Linked DNA regions of Nothobranchius furzeri. The protein of the gene in region 1 purifies or fractionates together with the protein of each later gene. This does not show direct contact. Links are inferred from orthologs where the notes say so. Each region holds a gene or a part of one and is shown on either strand. Other genes may lie near its edges.

What was found.
Region 2: the proteins of fbxl4 (region 1) and bnip4 purify together in Homo sapiens (affinity purification with western blotting; 4 studies listed by BioGRID, with this or other methods). This does not show direct contact. The link is inferred for Nothobranchius furzeri from reciprocal best matches to the Homo sapiens genes FBXL4 and BNIP3.
Region 3: the proteins of fbxl4 (region 1) and skp1 purify together in Homo sapiens (affinity purification with western blotting; 9 studies listed by BioGRID and IntAct, with this or other methods). This does not show direct contact. The link is inferred for Nothobranchius furzeri from reciprocal best matches to the Homo sapiens genes FBXL4 and SKP1.

What each region holds. Positions count from the first base shown.
Region 1 is NC_091745.1:52,310,326-52,318,901, reverse strand, and holds the start of fbxl4 (F-box/LRR-repeat protein 4), read left to right. Parts: upstream 1-3,952; 5' UTR 3,953-4,002; intron 4,003-4,050; exon of another isoform or gene 4,051-4,469; intron 4,470-5,943; 5' UTR 5,944-6,038; coding exon 6,039-6,535; intron 6,536-8,576. UniProt on the Homo sapiens protein: Substrate-recognition component of the mitochondria-localized SCF-FBXL4 ubiquitin E3 ligase complex that plays a role in the restriction of mitophagy by controlling the degradation of BNIP3 and NIX mitophagy receptors.
Region 2 is NC_091752.1:32,882,300-32,890,875, reverse strand, and holds the start of bnip4 (BCL2 interacting protein 4), read left to right. Parts: upstream 1-4,126; 5' UTR 4,127-4,278; coding exon 4,279-4,321; intron 4,322-4,595; coding exon 4,596-4,767; intron 4,768-4,847; coding exon 4,848-4,908; intron 4,909-8,576. UniProt on the Homo sapiens protein: Apoptosis-inducing protein that can overcome BCL2 suppression. May play a role in repartitioning calcium between the two major intracellular calcium stores in association with BCL2.
Region 3 is NC_091750.1:60,007,863-60,016,438, reverse strand, and holds the start of skp1 (S-phase kinase-associated protein 1), read left to right. Parts: upstream 1-4,050; 5' UTR 4,051-4,195; intron 4,196-4,788; 5' UTR 4,789-4,791; coding exon 4,792-4,888; intron 4,889-5,039; coding exon 5,040-5,113; intron 5,114-6,857; coding exon 6,858-7,001; intron 7,002-8,576. Other genes in the region: ppp2cab (serine/threonine-protein phosphatase 2A catalytic subunit alpha isoform), read left to right, coding at 959-1,168, 1,251-1,424, 1,513-1,602, 1,688-1,849, 1,939-2,057, 2,142-2,214. UniProt on the Homo sapiens protein: Essential component of the SCF (SKP1-CUL1-F-box protein) ubiquitin ligase complex, which mediates the ubiquitination of proteins involved in cell cycle progression, signal transduction and transcription.

The DNA.
Region 1 (8,576 bases):
AAGATGCATCTTCTACCTGTTGTGTAAATCGTTGCTCAAACCAACAGACATTCTGAATCTGTTGCTGCTTCACCCACAAATGCCGGTTGTGCAGAAGAAGTTGGAAAACTTGAGGTCTGATAGGTGTAAATCTTCTTTTTGCAGAATGTTCCAGACTAATTAGAATAACACAATTAAACTTAAGCAGTTTGCACCTTTCATGATGATTCAGATCAAGGAAAGTTTGTGATCAATCTATTGAAAAAAGTAAAGCTTCCAGAATAATTTTTCAGGTTCTAGTTTATAAACTATAAAATGGGATTGGATTCGATAATTTCTTTGTTATAACAAGACTCCTTGATAATAAATATTTTGCTATTGAAATTAATTGTTATTTCCTCCTGAATGAAGCCACGTCTGTAAGAAAATGCCTTTGTGGGTTGAGCTGATTAGTGGATAGCTCCAATGAAAAACTCAGCAAAAAGGTTTTAAAAATGAAGAAAAAACAAACATGATATTTTCACGACCTCATGAGAGGTTTTCCCTTGTCGACTGACCATTGTGTGTTTAAGGGAGAAAAGCAAAGACACTGTTCAATACAAGCAATAACTAGAATATCCTCTTTCTAGGCAAAAAAAATAAGTTAATAAATTTAAAAAAGAGGCGGGGCTGGGTGAGCAGACTTATTATTTTTCTGGCTTTTACCAGCTGGGGCATTGCACTGGGACAGTGGGTGTACCAGTGCATGGACAGGCATGTTAATGTGTGTGTGTCTTTTACGTGTATGTGTGCTGGCACTGATCTGCGCGTCCAGCCACATTTGCATCTGTGTGTGCACAGCCATGTGCATATATTATGGGTGGCACACTGGACCAGAACAGAGCTCTGACAGTAGCAGGGCTGCTGCTCATTGATGCCTGCCAGGAGGAGCTGACAGCAGCCTAGTCTGTCAATCACTGAGCACGCCGCTAGCTCCCTGTTCACATTAAACTATCTTGTTAACTCTAAATCTGTTTATACCCTTTTCATCTGAGTGTGATTTCAGCCTTTTTTCTCTCATGTGATGCAGTGTTTGCTGTGGGGGACAGTTTCAGTGGAGACCAAACAAGACAGATGTGAAAAGCTGGTATGGAAATGCTAAAGCCCCATTCCCACCTGTACCGGGTCGGCCCGGGCCGGGTAGCATAGGTTGTTTACATATCTGGGTGGCCTGGAATTTTCCCGGGCCAACCAAGGCTCATTCTCGGCCCTCTTCCCGAGGGGTACTGCTTCAGGCCGACCAGGGCCAACACACCCACTGCTGACAGCAAATTCACACCTTCCATTAGAGCAAGCCTCTGATTGGTGGGTAGAATCAGCCCATTCACACCTTCCATTAGAGCAAGCCTCTGATTGGTGGGTAGAATCAGCCCACATGGGCTTAAGGCAAGGATGTGTGGAATCAACCGGGCCAGGCTGGGGCCGACTGGGGCTACCCGGCCCGGGCCGACCCGGTACAGGTGGGAATGGGGCTTAAGAAACACGTGGTGCTGAACGAGGGATCTGTTCTTGCCAAAACAGGCCAAGCAGCAGTAGAAATAATGAATCCATGTCAAAGGGAAGTTATTCAATGGGAACAACTCAATGAAAAGTGAAATAACTTGGTTGCTTGTAATTCACAGACAAAATTTGGCTGATGTAGTTTACAGTTGTAACGTCCAGCAATGGTCAGTTTTTAGGTACAGTTTGACCCTTCAACATCTGGTCAAAATGGAGACACGAGACTGCACGTGTTCCCTTTATTCTGTCTGTCTTCATCCCATCAGCTGAAGCTCAGAGCCTCTCTGCAGCTCTGAACACACGATAACGTATTGCCAACAATGATGTTCTCTCCTCAAGGCTCAAGGCCTCGCTTATCGCCCTGCAGGATTCTTCGTGCCTCTGAATAAGTGAACACTCGCAGCTCGGATTAGTCGCTAAATCAAAGAATGATTTCTTAAATTAAATATGAACTTTTAAACTTGTAAGTTAAATAATCATTAAATAAACATTTGTTTATTGCTACTTATAATATTTTTATAACATAATGAAATGTTTTCATTAATCTGTGCTTGAGTGATTGAAGTTTGAAATGAATGTTATGTTATGATTACAGTGATTGATATATGTTTCAGCATGTTAATATGACAAAGTCATCACCATTTGCACTCACACAAGGACAAAGTAAGGTTAAGTTAAACTCATGACACATAGATAGTCCTTTACCCCAGATCAGAGCATCCAGATCCAAGAAGGCGTGTTTCTGAGTTGTCTTGCTAACATTCCTCAACTTGTCAACCTCTGGTTGGCTACACAAATCATAACATGAGAACATTAAAACTGGATCTCTCTGGTGATTCATCAGTTCTTGAGAAAAGCTTCAGACCGGCCATCTGAAGCAACACCTCTCTAACCCATTAAAGCTTTTGACACGTCGTCAAAATCTTTTTGCACCTGCGAAGCTGATACAGCAAACGGTTCCTGCAGAACAAGATGATATTGTTCAGACTCCTTCAGAGTCTGCCAGACGTGCAGTTCCATCCATCTGTCATGACCCGAGACATCTCTGGACTGAAATGTCGGTGCTAGAGTATTCTACAGCCCTTGGTGCCAGAGGTCATCTGACCTCTCTGACCTTTGGATCCATGAAGAGGGTCTCCGAGAAGGGGTGAAGTAGACACACAGATTGCGTCTGATGTGTTTTGATAATAATCAACATCTTAGCTTAACACAAAACAAATTCTTTACACCCAGAACCCAGCTCTCCTAGGTATGGAAGTTCTGATAACATCACATTCACACATAGGCACCATACACTACACCTGCTTCATCTAGATCCATCCACTCAGAGTAAATGCTAGTTAACCTGTTATGTTTTAATTGTTTGTAAAATAAATTCTTACTTTTATAAACCTGACTTTTTTCTGAATCAAAACGAAGTGTGTACAATCCCTGAATAAAACAAAGAATACTAGAATCTTCTGATTAAACACGGTAAAGACCAAGTAGGTTGATATTCTATATTTATATAGAGTATCACTACTTATTGGTCATTAGTAGAGGTAATATATATATTGAGCTCTTAAAGCACTCAATTTCTCAAACCCTACACAGTGAATGTGTTTTCATCTCTAAGAATATCCAAGCAGCTCCAAAGTTGATGCCATGCGAGAGTTTTTACTGAAAGGTAATAATCTTCTGTCACTCACAATCGATGCCTGCTAATAAGAGCTGGACTCATTGGTTTTATGCTGTTGTGTGGAAAGGCTGGGTCATTTTGGTTTTAGTGCATAGCAGAAACAGAATGGCTTGACAATGTAAATACAATGCTGGATGTGAAGCTGAATGATCCGTGTGAGTCTTAGTTATCAAGGAGTTGAAATCTGCATGTTTGAGTGGGGAATAAATGCATTCTTAGAATAAGTTCAGCATTCAGTTCAAATACCGGTAATTAGGTCTAGCACATTTTAACAGACACGCAATTAATCCCAAAATTTGCCAAACATAATTATGCAAAATGTTGGTCTTACACCATCTTTTAACTGCAATTCAAACTTAAATTAGTCGTACGCCTTTTATAAATTATAACCTGGTATTGTATTTGTTCTATGTCATCATCATTGAATGTGTGTAGGGTCTATGAACAGTCCTGTACTTTTGTTGATATATTGTTCAACTAAAGTTTATTTCAGCTAGTTAACAATAACAAGGAAATAAAATAATCTAAACACTGAACTGTGTATTTTGGTTAACATGACCATTATTGTGTTTAGATTCACTTGTTGAAAATAAAAATAAATAAACTGGGTTAAAAATAGTAAATATATATTTTTTGTTAAGTTACAGTCATTGATTGTATAATATACACACACGTAGGTTGCATTTCAAGTAGTTAAAAAATGTACTTCCTGTTTCTGATTTCAATGAAATACTATTCCCATAATGCTTTGCGTTTAGAGAACAACGAGCACACGCGATAAACGTGTGGCCTTTAAGGGAGCTACGGTACGTAACTTGGAAACAGTAGACGTTTTTATTGTATATTATTTGACTTTTTACTCAGTTTCAAATGAGATACATAGCTTATGTTTCTAAGAGTTCCTCTAAATAATATTTAAACTTATCCGTGTAATTGTAATTGATGGTGATTAGTTTCAACAGTATTACAAAGGAGAACAAGCAGTAACACTGAAATGACCGCTTTCGTTATCCCCTTTAGAGTCAAGGTTAGTCATATGGTGCTATCTTTTGCTTCATTATTCATGCTGAAATCGGATTTAAAATCGAATGACATGATTTGTGTTTGGTTGATTATGTTTATCAAACGTTTGACAATGTCCGATTGCTTCTGAAGGCAACACGAAATAAACGACTGACTGGAAGGCATTATTTGCGGTCAGAAATACCCTGATCAAGCCTCATGATAGAGGAAGATCGCTTCTCATGAATGGATATATCGACCTGCCTTTAACGTAATTTTTATTTATATGCCGTCGCTTAAATTTGGTGTTTTATAGCTAACTAGTGGTAACTAACAGTTCATGCTTTGACAGCCTAGCTAGGCTAGCTAGCATAACATTAGCTCACACACTTAAACAGCTGATATCTGTGGGAGACCCTCTGCCATCTGACTAGTTTATTTAACTATTAGCTGTTTTAGTGTTTGTTCTTCACTTGGATAAAGTAACAAAACCTAACTGCCCTCAGAAAATAACATCACCTTAACTATATTGAATCACAATTTTCGTACTAACCTTTTTTTTTACTCCAATCACACTCCTGTGTGATTCTTATCTATGTGTGTGTGTGTGTAAGGTCACCAGTTAAAATTTAACTAATGTTGTTAAACAGTTATAAAACATCACCAGCTTTAGTAAGTAGTAATTGTCTAGTGTTTGGTTTATTATTTTATTGAAAAAGCTTCCCCCCTTATTGTTAAACTACAGGTTATGACGAGTAGAATCAGTCAGGTTTGTCTCGAGTTTATTCAAAACCCTGCGGAATACAAGTTAGCTTTAAGGTCAATTGTGGCATTTACAAAATATATGTATATATTATAGATGGGAACACACTTAAAATCTCGTGTTGAGGGGGTGTCAAAGGTAAATGCATTTAGTTCTCACCCCTTTTTGGGTTGGATTCATCACACAAACCGCTGCAAGCTTTTGCTCATTTGGGCTTTTGAGTCTAGTTTATTTTACAGAAATAAATAAAATAGTTTTATTCATTTTGCAGAACAGACCACTTCTACTAAAATTGCCAACCTAACTACTTGATTTCTATTCTACTGAATTTTTCTGAGTTACATTATCAAATCTTAGACATCCGTTTTCTTTTCTGATCTGCAGTTTAGATTCCACAAAAGTAAAAACATCGGTGACACTCGTAATCATTTTAAAAGCGTTTAATGAGAATACAGATTTTTCAAATGTAAAATTACGGGTTTAATGTGGAACTAGGAAATGACTTTTTCTGTACTACCGGTGGTAATGGTCTTTTTGTACTAAATAGAATGTACTAGTCCCATGTTGTTCAGAAGAGTTTCTTAATAGAAGCAGTTTGAGAGTTCCTTTTAATGGGAGTTTTTTTTTTGCATGAAATCACATAAATGCTTAGCTAAATAAGTAATACAGCTCTGGCAAAACATCATGCTTTTGACACTAAAGTTTTATAAACTCTACTCATTTTTGCATCTGGATTTAATAAAAGTTTGACTGACAGAACATTCTGAACAAATTTTGCTACAGATGTAAATTTAAACTTAAAATGTGCAAAGCCTCCATTTCTGCTAAAAACAATATTGCCTGACATTGTATTTCTTTTTTTTTTTTAACTTATTTTCAGAGTTTTATGACCTGGTTTATCTCAGGGCCAAGCAGGTTTTGTGTTCTCTCAGACTTGATGTTTTGCTCTTCTCACTTTTGTTTGTCTCTGCCTAACCCACAGGTCATGCATGCAGCCAGGCTACTAACCAACCCAGAGACGATGTGCTAGTTGGAGGCTCTTCCTCCGTCTAAGCTCAGCTTCTCCCGTCTGCCCCCATGTTAACCCTCTTGAGCATGTTTTACTATATCTGTCTGCGGCGGCGCTCCAGGAGCGGGACTCGAGGCGAGGCTCTGACCAGTCGGCGCGCCGTGGAATCCGGTCAGCGGGCGGTGCTACCAGTAAGTGTGGAGGTGAAGCAGTACGCCAAGGAGGTCCTGGACTTCAGCTCCCACTATGGTAGTGAGAATAGCATGTCCTACACCATGTGGAACCTGGCTGGGGTGCCCAACGTGTACCCCAGCTCAGGGGACTTCACCCAGACAGCTGTATTCAGAGCTTATGGAACCTGGTGGGAGCAGTGTGCCAGTGCCCCACTACCTTTCCGACGTACCCCAAAAGATTTTTACAGCCAGGATTATGTTGAGCTGGGCTTTGAGGAACCGGTCTACCCAACAGCCGTGGAGGTGTTTGAGACTTACTACCCTGGAGCCATTGTCCAGATCATGGCCTGCTCGCACAACCCATTATCACAGAACCCACCCACCGATGTTAGGTAACAAACACATTGATGCTTCTTTTGTCAGCGCACTATATATACATACATACATACATACATATATATATATATATATATATATATATATATATATATATATGTATATATATATACATATATACATATATACATATATATATATATGTATATATATGTATATATATATATATATATATATGTATATATATATACATATATACATATATACATATATATATATATATATATATATATATATATATATATATATATATATATATATAATAGTACACCCCGCTACATTTGTCAGAAAACCTTTAGTTTCCTTTCAGAATAAACATTTTCTATAAGGCACCATACTACAAAACACTCCACAAATATGGCCCATTGATTACAAACAAGGTTTGTTTATTTTCACACACAAAAAAAGTGATTTTCCTAAGAAGTCTATTCAAGCCCATGTTGCAAAAATGAGTACACCCCAATTATAGTCTTAGGAGAAAAGCCACACTTAAGACTACAACTTCTAATAAACAGGTATCAAACCACAGGCGAGTCTAGTGATTCATCTAAGAGGTGTCCAGCAGACAGGTGACTATAAACGGGCATTACTTAAAGAAAAGCCCTTCCCATTTCATGCTGTCAGCAATGGCTGCACATGGAAGAGAAATGTCAGAAAATCAGAGAAAGAAAATAATTTCTTTACACCAAAATGGTCAAGGCTACAAGAAGATCAGCAAAGCTTTACATATCAGTCACAATACTTTAGCAAAGGTCATCCAAACATTTAACCTTCGGGCCAGAACATCGGGACAAGCAAGTAAGAACGATGAAAGTGCGACTATCTTACAGAGACGTCCAGACCGTCCACAGAAGTTAACATCTCGACAAGGGTGTCTTCTGATGAGAAGGGTTGAAGAGAATCGTCATGCAAGTTTGCTGCAGTTAGCTAAAGCAGTAGAAAGCCAAACTGGAGTGACCATTTCCCGTGACACCATCTGGCGCACACTGCAGAGGACTGGCATGAGAAGATGCTGTCATCACTACGTGCACTTGGTCGTTTTGCACTTTTCCAACACGACACTGATCCAAAACATCTAAAGCTACTTTTGCATTTCTGAAGGAGAACAGGGGGAAGGTTACTGAATGTCCAAGTCTGTCTCCTGATCTGAACCCAATCCAACACCTGTGGGGAATTCTGAAGCAGCAAGTTGAGCATCACACTCCGTCCAGCTTCCAGGCTCTAAAACAGGTTATTCTTGAAGATTGGAAAAAGATAGATGTTGCAATATGTCGCCAACTTGTCCATTCCATGCTTAAAAGACTCGGTGATGTTTTTAAAAATCATGGTGGTCATACAAAATACTAGATGTAGTAGTTTTTATTGTGGGGTGTATTCATTTATACTTCAACCAATTTTAGTAAAACTGAAGATTTAGTGATCTAAGTTATATTATTAACCTTAGCTTCATGTTATGGAGTTAAACAAGTGTTCAATAAAACCCAGCCTTGGGAAACTTCTGGAAATTGCCCTTTTGTTCATTGAGCTGCTGATTCAATTTGTACATTTTAAGGAGGGTGTACTCATTTATGATGATCAGTGTGTGTATGTATGTATATATACGGTCCTTCTCAAAAAATTAGCATATTGTGATAAAGCTCTTTATTGTCTGTAATGTACTGATAAACATTAGACTTTCATATACATTAGATTCATTACACACAACTGAAGTAGTTCAAGCATTTTATTGTTTCTAATATTGATGATTTTGGCATGCAGCTCATGAAAACCCAAAATTCCTTTTTCAAAAAATTAGCATATCATGAAAAGGTTCTCTAAACGAGCTATTAACCTAATCATCTGAATCAACTAATTAACTCTAAACACCTGCAAAAGATTCCTGAGGCTTTTAAAAACTCCCAGCCTGGTTCATTACTCAATACTGCAATCATGGGTAAGACTGCCGACCTGACTGCTGTCTAGAAGGCCATCATTGACACCCTCAAGCAAGAGGGTAAGACACAGAAAGAAATTTCTGAACGAATAGGCTGTTCCCAG
Region 2 (8,576 bases), on another chromosome or scaffold:
TATCAAACATGGAGTGCGCACAGCTGCACGCAATCTCCGCTTCATAAATCAGAAACTATCTAGAAAGGTTCTCAGCTGCTTTTTAGTCACATCCCGCCCTCACCACGCCCACTTACTGCCATAAATAGTGCAAAGTGCCTTGTGGACCTCATGCATATACATAAGCCGACTGTTGCAGCGCTCCGCCAATGACGATGGTGACCATAAATCAAGGCAGATCAAGGAAGTGCAATTTCACAGAAGCAGAAATTGAAATCTGTGGGTGAGGTGGAGAAATGAAAGGAAGTACTTTTGCAAAACAAATAAGAGAAAATCCACGGAGTGGCACAGTGTTGCTGAAGCCGTCAATGTTGTGAATTCTTCAGAGAGATCTGTGGCGAATATAAGAAAATGGTCCAATTAGAATTTGATCTCCAGACTCACAGGTGAAAGTCATGCACGCTAACCAGTCACCCAAACAGAGATCTCCCTTGTCCAAGTAGCCAGGGCGCATCATCAATCGGGTCACAGTGACAGGACACACACTGTCACAGACGCATGACATTCTGTCTCAATCTGTCCCCCTGCTGATATTCTGCATTCCGTATTCTGCGCTTCAGGCTGTGTGTGTGTGTGTGTGTGTGTGTGTGTGTGTGTGTGTGTGTGTGTGTGTGTGTGTGTGTGTGTGTGTGTGTGTGTGTGTGTGTGTGTGTGTTTGAGTATGTGCGTGTGTGCGTGTGGGGGGTCTTGTTCTGTGTGAAAACGAAGCAGTACAAGTGATAATGCTGCAGGATTTCATGATTGTATCCTTCTCAGCAGGAGCACTGCAGGTGCTCTCCATGTCCAACATGTGGGTAAGCAAGGTCCTTAGTCAACTTAAAGTTGTGCACATATTTCCGCTAAGTTTTCTTTCATAAATCCCAAAGTTTGCATGGAAAGTTGCTTATGCAGTTTTCCGACCCTGTTTTGTGCGTAAGCAAGCTTGATAAATGAGGCCCCATTCTGTTTAGTTTATTGTATCTTTTATCCAGTTCATTTCAAGGTGCAGTGTTACAAAGGCCCATCTGTACAATTTCTCAGGTAAAAATAAAATTTCTTTTTAACAATCATGTCAACATTTGATTCACAACATTTTATGATCATTCTTTGCTTTTGGTCTTTAAAAGTTCTGGAGGGTGCTTGGAAGTTCACCCAACCGATTTAGAGACAGCGTTCAACTGTGTCCCTTCTGATATGGGCTTTTAGGTCCCTGTATGAATGGTGTCAGAGCTTGGTCCGCATTGCTGGCAACAACTTGTGCTCATTCTCAGTGAGAGTTGGACTCTGCCAAGGCTGTCCTTTGTCAACAGTTCTGTTCATAACTTGACAGGATTTCTAGGGATTTCTAGGGGATCTGTTTTGGTGGCCTAAGGATCAGATCTCTGCTTTTTGCAGATGATGTGGTCCTGTTGGCTTCATCAGAATGGCTTAAACCTAATATTTGCAGCCGAGTTTGAAGCAGCTGAGATTAGAATCAGATCCTCTAAATCAGAGACCGTGGTCTTGAGTCGGAAAAGGGTAGAATGCCTTCTCCGGGTCAGGGATGAGGTCCTGCTTCATGTGGAAGAGTTTAAGTATCTTGGGATCTTTTTTACGAGTGAGGGAAATATGGATTGGTGCTGCGTCTGCTGTGGGCCTTGTACCAATTTGTTGTGGTGAAGAGAGAGCTGAGTCAGAAGGCAAATCTCTCAATTTACTGCTTGATCTACATTCCTACCCTCACTTATGGTCACAAGCTTTGGGTAGTGACCGAAAGAATGAGATCGCGGGTACAAGCGACAACATTCTTTTGTGTATTCTGAAATGGGCTCTCCCTTGGAGATAGGGTGAGAAGCTTGGTCATATGAGAGGGACTTGGAGTACATTCGCTGCTCCTCCACATTGAAAGGAGCCAGTTGAAGTGGCTAAGGCATCTAGTCAGGATGCCTCCTGGACTCCTCCCTGGTGAGGTTTTCTGGGCATGTCCAACCAGGAGGAGACCCCAGGGAAGCCAAAGAACATGCCGGAGGGTCTACGTCTCACGGCTGGCCAGGGAACGCCTAAGGATTCCCCCGGAGGAGCTATCCCAAGTGGCTGGGGAGAGGGAAGTCTGGATTTCTGTGCTTAGGCTGCTGCCCCGCGACCCGACACCAGATTAGTGGCTGAAAATGGATGGATCTTCAATTAAAACTAACTTTTAAATCACACCAGTGGTCTTGTGTTATATAGTTATATGAACTTTGAAAACGACTTGTGCTTCTCATGGCTGAATTACATGGTTTTGCCAACTTTCTGTGTCACACTTTTTTGTGCTGCTGTTTGTTTGCGTCCTTGTTTTTTGGAATAATTTTGAAAGCTCTGCGTCTTCCACATAAGTTGTTTCCTGCCTGGGAGGAGAAGACATCCCACAATAATAAGCTTGCCTGTATTGTCGAAATAATAAAATTTTGAAAGAATAATCAGTCACAATAATCTCCATGGGAGGAAAATAATTAAATTTGCCAGTTTCAAATTTGGACTCGCCTATGCAAGAAGTAATGAGCAAAGATGAAGTGTTTTACTGCATCCAATTACAGCTACTGTTTGCCACTTTTGTGTTTCATAGGAATCAGATTAAAACATGATACACGGACCTTAGGTATTGAAAAAAGTGATGTGTACACTGATCAGGGCACCATGAGTCAGGGTCTGCTCAGTCTGTCAAAACAGAACCTTTCAAATGCACGAAAGAAATGATGACAGACATGTGCAAACGTATTCACATCAACATTTTTCATGTTTTTAAATCATTTTATTGAGCCAGTATGTGCTAAAATTACCCTTTACATGGTAATGGAATGTCACTCACACCCCCACCGCCCCTTCTGGCCAGAATATTGCACTTGCAACTTCAGAGTTGCTGGTCTGGTCCCTGTTGGGCTTAATAAAGTAGAGCTGACATGCTAGCCCTGCAGTCTGCTTCCAGCAAGTTTCCTGCATGTTTTAAATCGTGAACACAGCAGGTTTGTTTGATTTAGTGATGAACCACACTTGTAGATTAATGAAGGCTGAGGAGACATTTCAGCTGTTAAAGTGTTAAAAAGCCAACATGACGAGATAAGTTTCACTTTTGGTTTTTTACCAACGGACACAAGGGGACACAAGCCAAAACTGCTTGGGGTTAAAAAGGTCTCTGTTGAAGTTGTAGTATCAATTCAAAAGTACTGGTTTCAAAACAAATTAAATGCATAAAAATACAAGTAATGTAAATGACAAAAAAAAAGCCCAATATTGACAAAAGCTTAAGCTGTGCCATTCCACACCTGCACCCCAATAATATTGTTATATTAAAGGCCATGATGACTATATTGCTTTAGAAAAATGTTAATGTTGACAATTTTGGGATACACTACTAGGCTATCTGTTTCAGCCCTTTGAAAATTCATCCATTTCTATGCAATGCACGTTTCATGGGTTGGACTAGTTGTAAGTATTGTAATTGTGTAACAAGTCCAAATTTAAAAGGCATATTATCAATAATTATTATTGGAATGCAGCCGTATACTGTATTTATTAGTTCTGTCAACAATATGAACCATATAAGAACATACTTTTGTTCAACAATAAATCCAAAAAAGTAAAAAAAAAATAAAATAAAAATAGAAACGAAGTACAAAATGAGCAGAGATGAAGAAAAATGAGACTACATGTAATGAGACGATGAAATGGAAAATATCACAGAGCGTTGCAAAAAAAAAAGCTCAAATACTTTTAAAATACAAAATCTAAAAATACTATAACTGCATTTTGTGCTTTTTGAGTTTGTCTTCTTTTTCTTTTATACATCAGATTCCATGGACAAACATGAGTTCATAGAAGTTTTTAATTCTTATCTCAGACTTTTCTTTTGATGGTCTGGTCCCACCGGTACAGAAATTATCGGACACTGGTGAACTTTTGCTGCCACCTGCAGACAAGTGAGTAAAAACCAGTTCAAAGTCTAACTTCAGTATAAAATTAGCAGACGCCACATATTAATTATTATTTCAGTATTAACTATTCAATTAATGTGATATTTCATCTTAAATATATTATAATTAAAGGGTTTCAGATGGACCGCTCGGTGGTGTGCGCATGCGCACTCTCTCGGCCTGGGTGCATTGCTTTCTGAGCCAATCCAAATTTAGATAAACACAATATTACGTCATTGTTATTGTGTCCAAGCTCCAGCTGCTGCTTTCGGGCATTTCGCTTCCGTTAGACCTAATAATAGTGTAAACGTATAACATATTAATCAGCGAAATGTCGCATCGGAAGGACATTGCTTTGGACGAGAGTTTACAAGGTAAAGTTTCTGAAAAACCACGAGAAAAAACTAGCATAAACTAGCTAACGTAACCCTGGCTAAAGGTGGAGAAAAGTGAATGCTAAAAGGTTTAATAGCTTATGAAAAATGAGTGTTGTACAAGATATATGTGAAAAAACACTTCATAGGAGCTTTAGGGGATGAAATGTTCAGATAAAGACAGTGAGTGATGACGTCTGATTATTGTTGTCCTTCAAAGCTGTTTATCTCAACACCCTAATGGCTGACAGGCATGGCGTGTGTTTATTTAAAGGTTCGTGGGTTGAGCTGCACTTTAACGGGACTGGCTCTCAAGGTTCTGGTCATCGGGGAAGCCAAGAACAAATCCCCGGGTCCGTCCAGGAGGGCGACGTGGAGAAAATGCTGCTGGAAGCTCAACGTGAGTCAGGCAGGAACAGCTCCAAGGGAAGCTCTCAGTGTAACAGGTCTGTGAGAAAGGGGGAAGAGCTGTTGGTGTGTAATAGCTAGTTATTCATATAAAGTGTATCTTTTGTCTCAACCACAGCCCTCTGAGACCACAGACCCCCCTTCTACTCTGGAGAGGCTCAGAGGGAAACAGCTCACAGGTCAGTTGCCAACTGTTTTTGACTGAAAGCAGCTGAAGTCCCCCCCAACCGCTAGATGTCGCCAGATGACGTCACGTGTTTATTTACATATTGATGGCGTCATCACGCCACATTGGCGTTCATTTTCCCCATAGCATCTAAAAGATGTATATATATGTATATATATATATATGTGTATATATATGTATATATGTTTATATATATATGTATATATATATATATATATATATATATATATATATATATGTGTATATATATGTATATATATACATATATATATATACATATATATACATCTTGTAGATGCTATGGGGAAAATTAACGCTATCCATGCTACTGCTGTCTATCCAATATATATACATATATATATACATATATATACATCTTTTAGATGCTATGGGGAAAATTAACGCTATCCATGCTACTGCTGTCTATCCATGCTACTGTTCGACTTGTATCTGTAAGTCTTCACCTGTTTGTTAAGCTAATGTAATGGTTACATTGTCTGTATGCACGCTAAGCCGCGCTGCATTTATTTACCCATTTTATCGCATTGCTTAGCTTTGGTCTTCAGCCCATGCTGCTGCTTCACGCTGCCGTTAGCTTCCGCTCACTGAGCTTTGTATGTCGCCGCAGGGCTCCTTCATCCTTGTCAATAAAACCATTTGACATCGAGGAGTGTATTTCTTCATGAAGGAGCCAGATATAAGTCGAACAGTAGCATGGATAGACAGCAGTGTGATGGTTGAGCAGCAGTAATCCAAATGAGAAGCAGCAGTATGTACAGTGAGGGGTCCTCACATGTACGTGACTTCAGGCACGTCTGTGAATACACCTTTTTTCCTCGAGGCTTGATTGCAGCACACCCTAGTGGCCAGTGGTGACCTCTGCACTTTGTTGCTAATCTGTGGGGAATATCTACAAGAAAGTTCTACAGAAAGTAGAAAAGGGTCCTGAGAAATGTCTCTAGGTTTGTTGCTAGGCACTTTTTGGGAAAAAAAAGTCGTTGAGGGGGGTCAAAAAGTCGTTAGGAACAGAGACACAGTCGCTGAGTTGGCAACACTGTCACAGGTTGTTCATAGTTGTTATATTCTCTCTCTCTCTCTCTCTCTCTCTCTCTCTCTCTCTCTCTCTCTCTCTCTCTCTCTCTCTCTCTCTCTCTCTCTCTCTCTCTCTCTCTCTCTCTCACCCCCACACCCCCACACAAACACACACATTGCTTTAACAGTACTAAAGGCAAAGGTGTATTATTAATTGATGTAATCCACCATAGAAGCTTTATTCCCATTGTGCAACCGAATTAAACAAAAATAGGTTTCTGTATGCACGTATTGAACCGTCACCTTATCGTGGTGGAGGAGTTTAAGTGCCCTAATGGTCCTAGGAGCTATGTTGTCTGGGGCACTTTGTGCCCCTGGTAGGGTCTCCCATGACAAATTGGTCTTAGGTGAAGGGTGAGACAAAGAACAGTTCAGAGGATCTTTCGTGGATATACAATCAAAGAGTCGGGGTACCCGGCCCGGAAGGATACCGGGGTCCCACCCTGGAGCCAGGCCTGGGGTTGGGGCCCGTGAGCGAGCACCTGGTGGCCAGGCTTTCGCCCATGGGGCCCGGCCGGGCCCAGCCCGAACCGCATACATGGGCTCATCCAACTATGGACCCACCACCCGCAGGAGGAACATGAAGGGTCCGGTGTAGTGTGGATCGGGTGGCAGACCGAGGCGGGATCCTTGGCGGTCCGATCCTCGGACAACGAAACTGGTTTTTGGGACATGGAACATCACTTCGCTGGTGGGGAAGGAGCAGGAGCTTGTGGCAGAGGTTGAGCGGTACCGGCTAGATATAGTCGGACTCACCTTGACACATAGCATTGGCTCTGGAACCCAAGTCCTTGAGAGGGGTTGGACACTCTCCTTTGCTGGAGTTACTCTGGGTGAGAGGCGGAGGGCTGGTGTTGGCTTTTTGTTAGCCCCAAGACTCTTTGCCTGTGTGTTGGGGTTTACCCCGGGTAGCTTCCCTACGCCTTCGGGTCGGGGAACGGGTCCTGACTGTTGTTTGTGCTTATGGGTCAAATATCAGCTCAGAGTACCCACCCTTTTTGGAGTCCCGGGGTCGAGTGCTAGATAGTGCTCCATCAGGGGACTCCATTGTCCTGCTGGGGGACTTCAATGCTCACGTGGGCAATGACAGCATGACCTGGAGTGGTGTGATTGGGAGGAACGGCCCGCCTAATCTGAGCTCGAGTGGTGTTTCGTTATTGGACTTCTGTGCAAGCCGCAGTTTGGCCATAACAAACACCATGTTCGAACATAAGGATGCCCATTCGTTACACTTGGTACCAGGGCAGCCTAGGTCGCAGGTCGATGACAGACTTTGTAGTTGTATCATCTGACCTGCGGCCGTATGTTTTGGACACCCGAGTGAAGAGAGGAGAGGACTGGAGCTGTCAACTGATCACCACCTGGTGGTGAGTTGGATCAGATGTCAGGGGAAGATGCAGCGTAGACCTGGCAGACCCATACGCATAGTGAGGGTCTGCTGGGAACGCCTGGCAGAAGAACCTGTCAAGACGGTCTTCAACTCCCACCTCCGACAGAGCTTTGACCGCAGTGGGGGACATTGACCCCGAGTGGGCCTTGTTCCACTCTGCGATTGTTGAGGCGGCTGTTGCTAGCTGTGGTCGCTAGGTGGCCGGTGCCAGTCGTGGTGGCAACCCCCGTACCCGCTGGTGGACACCAGAGGTTCGGGGAGCCGTCAGGCTGAAGAAGGAGGCCTACTGGGCGTGGCTGGTCTGTGGGTCTCCGGAGGCAGCTGACAGGTACCAGAGTGTCAAGCAGGGTGCAGCAGTAGTAGTTGCCGAGGCAAAATCTCGGGTGTGGGAGGAATTTGGTGAGGCCATGGAGAAAGACTATCGATCGGCTCCAAAGAGGTTCTGGCAAACTGTCCGGCGCCTCAGGAGAGGAAGGCAGCAACTCGCTCACACTGTTTACAGTGGGGATGGGGAGCTGCTAACGTCAACTGGGGCTATAGTCGCTCGGTGTAAGGAAGACTTTGAGGAGCTCCTCAATCCCACCTACTCGCATTCCGAGGAGGAACCAGAGCCGGGAGACCTGGGGATGGACTGTCCAATCTTGGGGGCAGAAGTTGCTGAGGTAATCAAACAACTACACAGCGGCGGAGCCCTGGGGGCGGATGAGATTCATCCTGGGTATCTCGAGGCTATGGATGTTGTAGGGCTGTCATGGTTGACACGTCTCCGCAACATTGAGTGGTCATCGGGGGCAGTTCCTGTGGAGTGGCAGACCGGGGTGGTGGTCCCCATCTTTTAGAAGGGTGACCTGAGGGTGTGTTCCAACTATAGGGGGATCACACTCCTCAGCCTCCCTGGAAAGGTCTACTCCAAGGTACTGGAGAGGAGGGTCCGATCGATGGTTGAATCTCAGATTGAGGAGGAGTAATGTGGTTTTCGTCCTGGCTGTGGAACTGTGGACCAGCTCTATACCCTTGCAAGGGTGATGGAGGGGGCATGGGAGTTTGCCCAACCAATCCACATGTGTTTTGTGGATTTGGAGAAGGCTTATGACCGTGTCCCCAGGGGCGCCCTGTGGGGGACGCTCCAGGAGTATGGGGTGGGTGGCTTTCTGTTAAGGGCCATTCAGTCCCTTTAC
Region 3 (8,576 bases), on another chromosome or scaffold:
CTTTATCTCCTGTCGCCTCATCCATTCAAAGATGGGTCCTGTGTGTTTGTGTTCCACTTTCATCCAGACACCTAGAATATTCTTCTCTGGCTTAGTGCCTCTGTTTGCTTTAGAGATTTGTGGCTCAGTGTGGCCCCCGAAGCCTCCTGCCGCACGCCGGTCGGGACACGTGGAGTTTGGATGCAATGTAGGTCAACGTTGTGCAACGCTGCAGCGCCATCCTGGCCCGTCTGGGTTTCTATCCCATCAGCTGGCCACCAGCCAAGGAACACACTCGTTCTCTGGTTTGTGAAGGGATCCACGGTCACACAGCTCACAAAAATACTCAGCAAACGGCCAAATTCCGGGTGATTTACCATGAAGGTAAAACAATCGGAAACATAAAAGCAGTCACAGCTGGAGGTTACCAATCAAGCCAACTGGTGGTAAATCCTGTCTTATTTTAATGGTGACTTCCTCTGGCTCTGGCTGTAGGCCACATGCTGAGTCATGCTCTGCAGCAGCCAGTCAGGCCCCTCTGATGATTTATGGGTAAAAATAAAATGCTTTAATAATCCAGAATCACATTTATTTTTCTGAATTTAACACGTTAATCTAATTTGTCTGATCCGATGTGAATTAACATCAAAGTGAACCAAAACTTTTATGCAAATCCACTAAAATTTATTCTGCACTTGCCTTTTAATCTTCGGAGGATCACATTTATGGATTTTTAGAAACGTTGCCGTGCAGCCAGAGCTGCCCGTCCGGGCACCACAGGGTCGCCCCACAGGAAGCTAGTCGCTGCATCAAAATGCTATCAGCCCCGCTCCGTGTGCAGCATCCTGATGAGACGTGATGGAGGCCGTTGTAAGCGCTAGCAGGAAGTGGGCTGTGCCTGAATGAAGACAAAAAGAAAATGGTGGCCTTTGCCTGGCTTGTGCAAGTTTTAATTCTCTAATCAACTTTCCTTCTGCAGGCAAAGGAGATCCTGACCAAAGAGTCCAACGTCCAGGAGGTGAGATGTCCAGTGACCGTGTGTGGCGACGTGCACGGCCAGTTCCACGACCTCATGGAGCTGTTCAAGATCGGTGGGAAATCGCCGGACACAAACTACCTGTTCATGGGGGACTATGTGGACCGAGGGTACTACTCTGTAGAAACCGTCACATTACTTGTAGCTCTTAAGGTGACTTTGTCAGACATTTAAAACAGTTTTTTTTTCCTCTTTGGGGTGAAAAACGCGACGTAAACAGATGTTTGTGTTTCAGGTTCGCTTCCGGGAGCGCATCACGATCCTCAGAGGGAACCACGAGAGCAGACAGATCACACAAGTCTACGGCTTCTACGACGAGTGCTTAAGGAAATACGGAAACGCAAACGTTTGGAAATACTTCACAGACTTGTTCGATTACCTCCCCCTCACTGCGCTGGTAGACTCTCAGGTGAGAGGAGCGTAATAAAAAAGACCGAACTTGACGTTTCTTTGAAAAGCATCATAATTTGTTATAATTATCGATTTTTTTTCCTCAGATTTTCTGCCTCCACGGGGGCTTATCACCGTCTATAGACACGCTGGATCACATCAGAGCTCTGGATCGTTTACAGGAAGTGCCGCACGAGGTAAAGAAAGACGTTAAATGTGGTGCAGATCAGCAACGAAACAATAAAGATAAAAACGTTTGTGACCATTCTCGTTGTCACGCAGGGTCCCATGTGCGACCTGCTGTGGTCAGACCCCGACGACCGCGGCGGCTGGGGCATCTCTCCCCGAGGAGCTGGCTACACATTTGGTCAGGACATCTCTGAAACGTTCAACCACGCCAACCGCCTCACGCTGGTGTCCCGCGCCCATCAGCTGGTCATGGAGGTTTGTCTTTGTGTCCAAAGATGATTAAAAACAAAGAAGCAGTGCCGCTAAGTTCAGATGCGTGTTAATATTACATCTGCTTACCTCAGGGCTACAACTGGTGCCATGAGAGGAACGTGGTGACCATTTTTAGTGCTCCTAACTACTGCTATCGCTGTGGAAACCAGGCAGCCATCATGGAGCTAGACGACACCCTCAAATACTCTTTGTAAGCAGGCGAATTTCATCACGAGTGGACAAAGAAATCTTAGAATAAGTTGTGATTTTTTTTCTTCCTGATGTTCCTCCTCAGCTTGCAGTTTGATCCAGCGCCTCGCAGAGGAGAGCCCCATGTAACTCGCCGCACCCCAGACTACTTCTTGTAAACCTGCAGTCTCGACCCGCGCACGGTCCGGTCCGGTCCTGTCCAGAACCACCAACCTATCTGACTTTGAACTGAAAACAACGTGATGGAGGCCTGAGAGGCTGCAGTGTTGCACGTTGTGTTTATCCAATCTAGTTAAAGCATTTCGCAAAAGCAAATGTGTCTATAAACGGACCAAAAGGTGTGTGCCATGATCACTTAAATATTTATTGTATCTGAAATGACAAAATAGAACATCCTGGATGTCTCGGCTCCTCCTCCTGTACATATGGAGCTGGGTTGACGGCACCAAAGTCCAAGACTAATTTGCTACTGCAGACCATGGTTTTTGAGATTTGAATGTGATTTGTTTGCACTTTTGTACAGTTAAAGAAATGTTAAATATGTCAAAAAGATTAATACGATTTCACGATATTGATAGTTTTTTTGTTGTTTATTTTTAAATTGCATGTAAACCTTCAGTTTTTTTTGACCTGTGTATGTTTTAGGAAAATCCCTTCTCATGCAGTCAGATGGCTTGGTTTATAGAAAAGATGGAGTGTTCATCAACTCACCTGCTTCCTTTTAGCTTCAGACTCTATAATAACCTACTAGAATAATAAAGATGACTTCTTGAATTGTGTTTTTGGTTATTCTTCATTCTTGTAAAAAGTCTAGTTATATTTGGATTTCTCTGGCCAGTTGTAATTACACTGACACAGCAAGGCGAAGACATAAAAAATACATTTATTTAAATGTGAATTTAAATTATTGTGCTCCATAATATTAGATTGTATTGAGAACAGAAGTATCAATTGCCCAAAACAAGCAAACTTAATGTTGAGAATTGTGTTATTTCAAATAAAAGGCGCATAAATGCAATTTTATTAAGTTTTTCCAGAGCAATCTAAGCCAGCCTGGATCCTGCTGGAAACAAGTCGCATCTGCCGGAAAAAAGGGGAAATACGCCACCCTGTGGTTGTGAATAGGCACGACACCACACATAGACAATCGCAGGCACTGACCCTAGTGCTTCCTGTTATCTCTTCACAAAGTGTAACTAATAAATTAGACTTACACATTTTCAAAAATAAATATATTTAAATTTAATATTTTTAAATATTATTTTGTATTTGATATATGACATAAATTTTTCTTACCGCACCACCATGCCATATACAATAAATGAATGATTTGTGTAGTCTGTTGTCAAAAGGAGTCATGTACTTTAAATTGTTATTGGTACACTGACAGAGAGATTTATAATGAAAGATACACATAGAAAGTGATCATTTTATTTTTATTAAAAAAAATAGAATAGCACAAGACAAGTCACTGTTATCACAAAAGAGCTTATTTGTTCCATGTAGACAAAGTATTTGTCTTTTTATAACACAAATTCTGATTTAAAATCAAAGTGGTTCGAGATGAGACAATCAAAATAAAATCTGAGCTAGGTAAACAAGAAGCGATGCTGACTGGTAGCCACCGCCACGATTTGAGCTCGGCCCTGCTGTGCTCCCTTCATTAGCACATGTTGTTAAGGGAAGCCAATTTATCATATAAAATCGGAATTGTACTGGGGTTGTTTAAAGGAAATCGGCACTTGCTTGCTTTTAAGTGTTGTTAAGTATCTACCTTACTAAATATACACTGTGGGACAAGACAACTGGTATTTACCATCGACATATACGTATTTACGTTTAATAGCTTATGTTTGGCACGTTTTGATCACCTTACTTTATAATGTATTCTGCAAGAATTAAATAATATCACGGTTTAACTTGTACAGACATTTTAAATGTAATTAATGAAAATGCTGTTTTGTTTAGAACAAATAAAAAAATTGTAGGGCATTAACATGATTATATGTTACAACGGATTGCCATACAGCGGAAAAGGTTGATCCAGAGGCTTTTAGCCGCTGTTCGTCACTTAAAGTCTAGGCCTTCCAACGGACTCCTAAGGATATATAACCTTTGAGTTTTTGTTAAATAATCACGGTATGTAGCTTCATGTTCTGGTGACCTGATAAAGTTAGGTTTAAATAGATTTTCACGTCAGGTTTATGCGTCAATTTGAAACGCCTCGATGATGTAGCAAAGAGGCCTAGCTGACAGCAAAGAGCTGGCGAAACGAAGAGTCAAGATTTAAGCTTTGTGACATACATTTTAGACACAATTGATTGTCTCGCCTGTGATTAACATGTATTTGTTTACCATTATTTGTAATAGCGAACATCTTTCAATGTATTTTTCTTTTAAGCACACGGAAACTAGCTAACTTTAGCATTTCCGTCTTGTAGCTTGTGTCATCGTTAGCTTGGGCATTAGCGCTTCTCAAATAAATTAGATTTACAACAGGTGGTATTTATTCAGTATGAACACACAAGTGCATCTGGCAAGTCTTATGATAGGTATTATTTATCAAATCAATAGCTTTTGTTTATACAAAGAGCTAATTGTATGTTAGCTTTTCGTTAGCTTGTTGTTTGCTAGCTTAGTTTGGTAATTGAGACAATTCGTCGCGGATTACGTCTGCTATTGTCGCAAAATTAGCAGTAAATGCACTGAATGAATATTATTGTTCATTCCAGAAAATGCCCACGATAAAACTACAGAGTTCTGATGGGGAAATTTTCGAGGTAGACGTTGAGATAGCCAAACAATCCGTCACCATCAAGACCATGTTGGAAGGTAAAATGTTCTGTTCATTTCAAACGTTCAAACTTGATTTTGTGAGTTTATAACTGACGTAAAAAGAGTTATCAGTTTTTTTAATTAACAGTAAAGATCGTTTGGGTTGAGGCTGAATTTTAACGTTTTTTTTTTTTGTGTGTGTGGTCAGACTTGGGAATGGACGATGAAGGAGATGATGACCCAGTTCCCCTTCCTAATGTGAACGCGGCTATCCTGAAGAAGGTACAGAACGCACAGCTGTCACAATGACAACAGCAGAGTCATCAGATTTGTTTCACATCAGTCGATGGGAGAAAAGTGATTGGTTTTTATTTGATTTCTGGATTTCACCGTGACAGTTGGGTATACCGCAATAGTTGACTAATCGTGTCATTCAAAAAAAAAACTATAGGTTATTGCACCAGGCTGCTCTAATATACCCATCATTAGCTTCTAGTTTGAAGTTTAATCCGTTATGTGCCATCTAATAATAAACTTTTAATTAACTTCATAACTTATTAATACAAATGCTACAGTCAAATGGAGGTAGGCACCTAAAACCAAAAATAAATTGTCTACAAAAAATTACTTGTGTTCGCAAAATGTATTCTAATCTTAACTCAGGAAATAGCAGGGCACATCAAGGTGCGCCTCTGTAGCATGGCTGGTACACCCGTCAGCAGTCAGGGGATCATCGACAGCTTTGAGGGTCTGCTTTATTGTAAAGATATTAAATTTAGTTTATTTACCAAATTAATAATTCTGTTATAAAACAAAGTAGATTAAAATTCAACACATGTAAACTGTATTATGCACCAATATTAGGTTCCTGATTGCTCAGTCAGCAACCTTTTTATTTGATCATAAAACACATTAAATTCCAATAATTATTTGTGTCCAGAGAGAAAGAGACTAAGACTTGAACACGCGCGCACACCTTAAAGGTTGTTTCGTATTTCTTTTCCATCATGCTGGTGAATGGGCATCAGCCTGGTAGGTAGTTGTCGTGGTATCCTTGATCATCTTTTTGAAACCTCGATCACCGACCATGGACAGGAGTCTCATGACCAACATGGTCAGGACGTTAGCTTGCTGAGGTGTTCACGTAACCAACTCGTCCATTGAAGAGGAGCATTTTTATTAACACTGTAGCGTAGCGGGATGAAATCATTATCGTTTGTAATTGGAGCAAAAATACGTGACATACAAACGTGATCTAATGGTAATAAAAATAGCCACCGCTACTGCTGTTGCTACACCTATAACTACAAGTAACTCTCTGTTGATGCTAGCAGCTAAAGAGGTAAACTTAGAGAGGCGACTCTTTATTCTCTGCCATGACGTGCTTCCTTGTAAGGTGCTCATGCATCGCCGATGTGCTCCCGTGAAAGGAGAGTTTCCCTTTGCAGAGTTTGCACTATGTGCTTTCCTTAGTCTATGTATAATACTCCAAAACTTTTGAGCTATGTTGCCGACTCGCTATGTCTTCTTTCTCCGGTGACGAAGGCTGATCTGGATGGCCACTACTGCGAATGCGCCTCGGAGCTGAAAACAGCCACTGACCCGGATGGGGACTAATGCGCATGTGCATTGAGCAGAAAGTCAGGAAGCAACCGCCGAATGTGCCGCAGCAGGCGAGATTAAAATTAATGGTCACAGAATAAATAATGCATCCACTATTAAATTAGTAGTCGAGTATTTTGTTTGTTGATGTTGTGACGAGTCGACTAATCATGGCAGCCCTATATAACTTATTAAGAGGATGCTCAGTCTGTCTTTGTTATGTTCTGTCCTGCCAAATCAACTGACACGCTCCTTTAATCCAGATAAAGGTAAAACTGTACGTGTAGATGCACCTCAGCAGAAGATCTCAAAATTCCTTCATCACGGGGGAATGTTGTGCACATGTTTCTGTCTGCGTAAATCTTAACACGAATGTATAAAATTATGTAGTTTCAGTTAAGAATAAACATGTTTTCCCCTTTAGGTGATTCAGTGGTGCACTCATCACAAAGATGATCCTCCTCCTCCCGAGGATGATGAGAACAAAGAGAAAAGGACGGACGACATTCCCGTCTGGGACCAGGAGTTCCTCAAAGTGGACCAAGGCACCTTGTTTGAACTCATTCTGGTAAATATGTTTCATTAAACATTATTCTTATTTTGCTGCTAAATGCGTTAGCTACATTGAAATTGATGCTTTTCCCGCACCCCTTAAACAGATTTTCACCCCTCAGCAGAATTCTTAACTCTTGAGGTTGAATCAACTGGAAAAAATGTCCTCTCTGTTTTTAGGTCATTATTAGAAGTTTGGGTCAGGCAAAACCAGAAAAGTTGTTGTTTTTGCAAATATTACACATAGTTTATAGTTCTGCTACAAATTCTGATTGGCAGCCGACCTCTTCGCCGCAGCTCTCCATAACACTCAGCCTAAAATGCGCTCACTGTAAACATTACTATAAATAAAATAAGTGTTTAAAAAGGCAACTTATTTTGTATTGTACAGCTATAATTATTCATGTGAACTGATTTGAAATGTAGTTTATAAGAGGAGCTTGGAGACGTTAGCGATCCACTTGTGTTTGGATTAGCTTTAGCACATCATTAGTTAAAACGTAAACACTTTCTTCAAACTGAGGCTCTTCAGGAAGCTGTCTACAAGAAGTAAGATAAAAACTGATGTGTTACACAGAAACACGTCAGAATGTCCCAAAGCCCCATGAATATGTTCTTCAAACGATATAAGTGCTTGTTTTCTCTTAACTCCGATCCAGATCTTTATTTACACCCGTTACTTCAAACGTCCTCGTTTGATGATTATTTTAAAAAAAATTTTTTTTGTCAAGTTTTGTGTAATTGGGTATTCTGTAGGGATGGACAATATAACGGTATCGGCTGATGTTAGCTATTTTTTAACATATCTGTTCAATAAAGAAAACCAGGCCAATATTAACAACCGATATTTTTCCATCTTGTCCCCATTTGTTTGCCTGTTTCAGAGGGTGATGTGTAATTTAGTCTTGTGAACAGTGAATGAAATCATTTCAGAACCATAAATGTGTGTGGTGTGTGTACATAATAATGTAAATCCAGCTTTAATAATTTATAATTTTCATTCTATACAAAATCTGCTGATTTTAGAAGCATTAATGCCAGTATATCGATATCGACCAATATCGGTATCGGCACAAAAAATTTCATATCGCCGATATATGATATCGGTGCATCACTAGTATTCTGTCTAGGGATGTCCCATTCCGATATCAGAAGCAATTCATTATCGGCCCAAAAACACTATTGGATTATATCGGACTGCATCATAAATCTCCAATATAAGCAGTTTGTTAAGGTTCACATTTTTGCGACCAGTGGTTTAAAAAAAGGGTCAAATTTTTTTTCATACTTACTGTTATTGGCTCTTGTTCTCCGATTGAGTAATATCACTTCATCAAGCCTTTCATACATTCCACACTACGGAATAGGTAAAAGTATGATTTGTGCTGGTATCGTATTGAAATCGGTGTCGTATCGGGACATCCCTAATTCTGTCTTTTTTGTGGTCTGATTTGATCACCAAAAACACAAATGTTGCTTAGCAACATCTAGTAAAAGAGACAGATGCTGATTTTAAGTTGTATAAAAAGTTCCTTGTTAATGAAGTGGAAGCAGATTTGGATAATGCAGGGTATCCGCAGGTCCTTAAAAA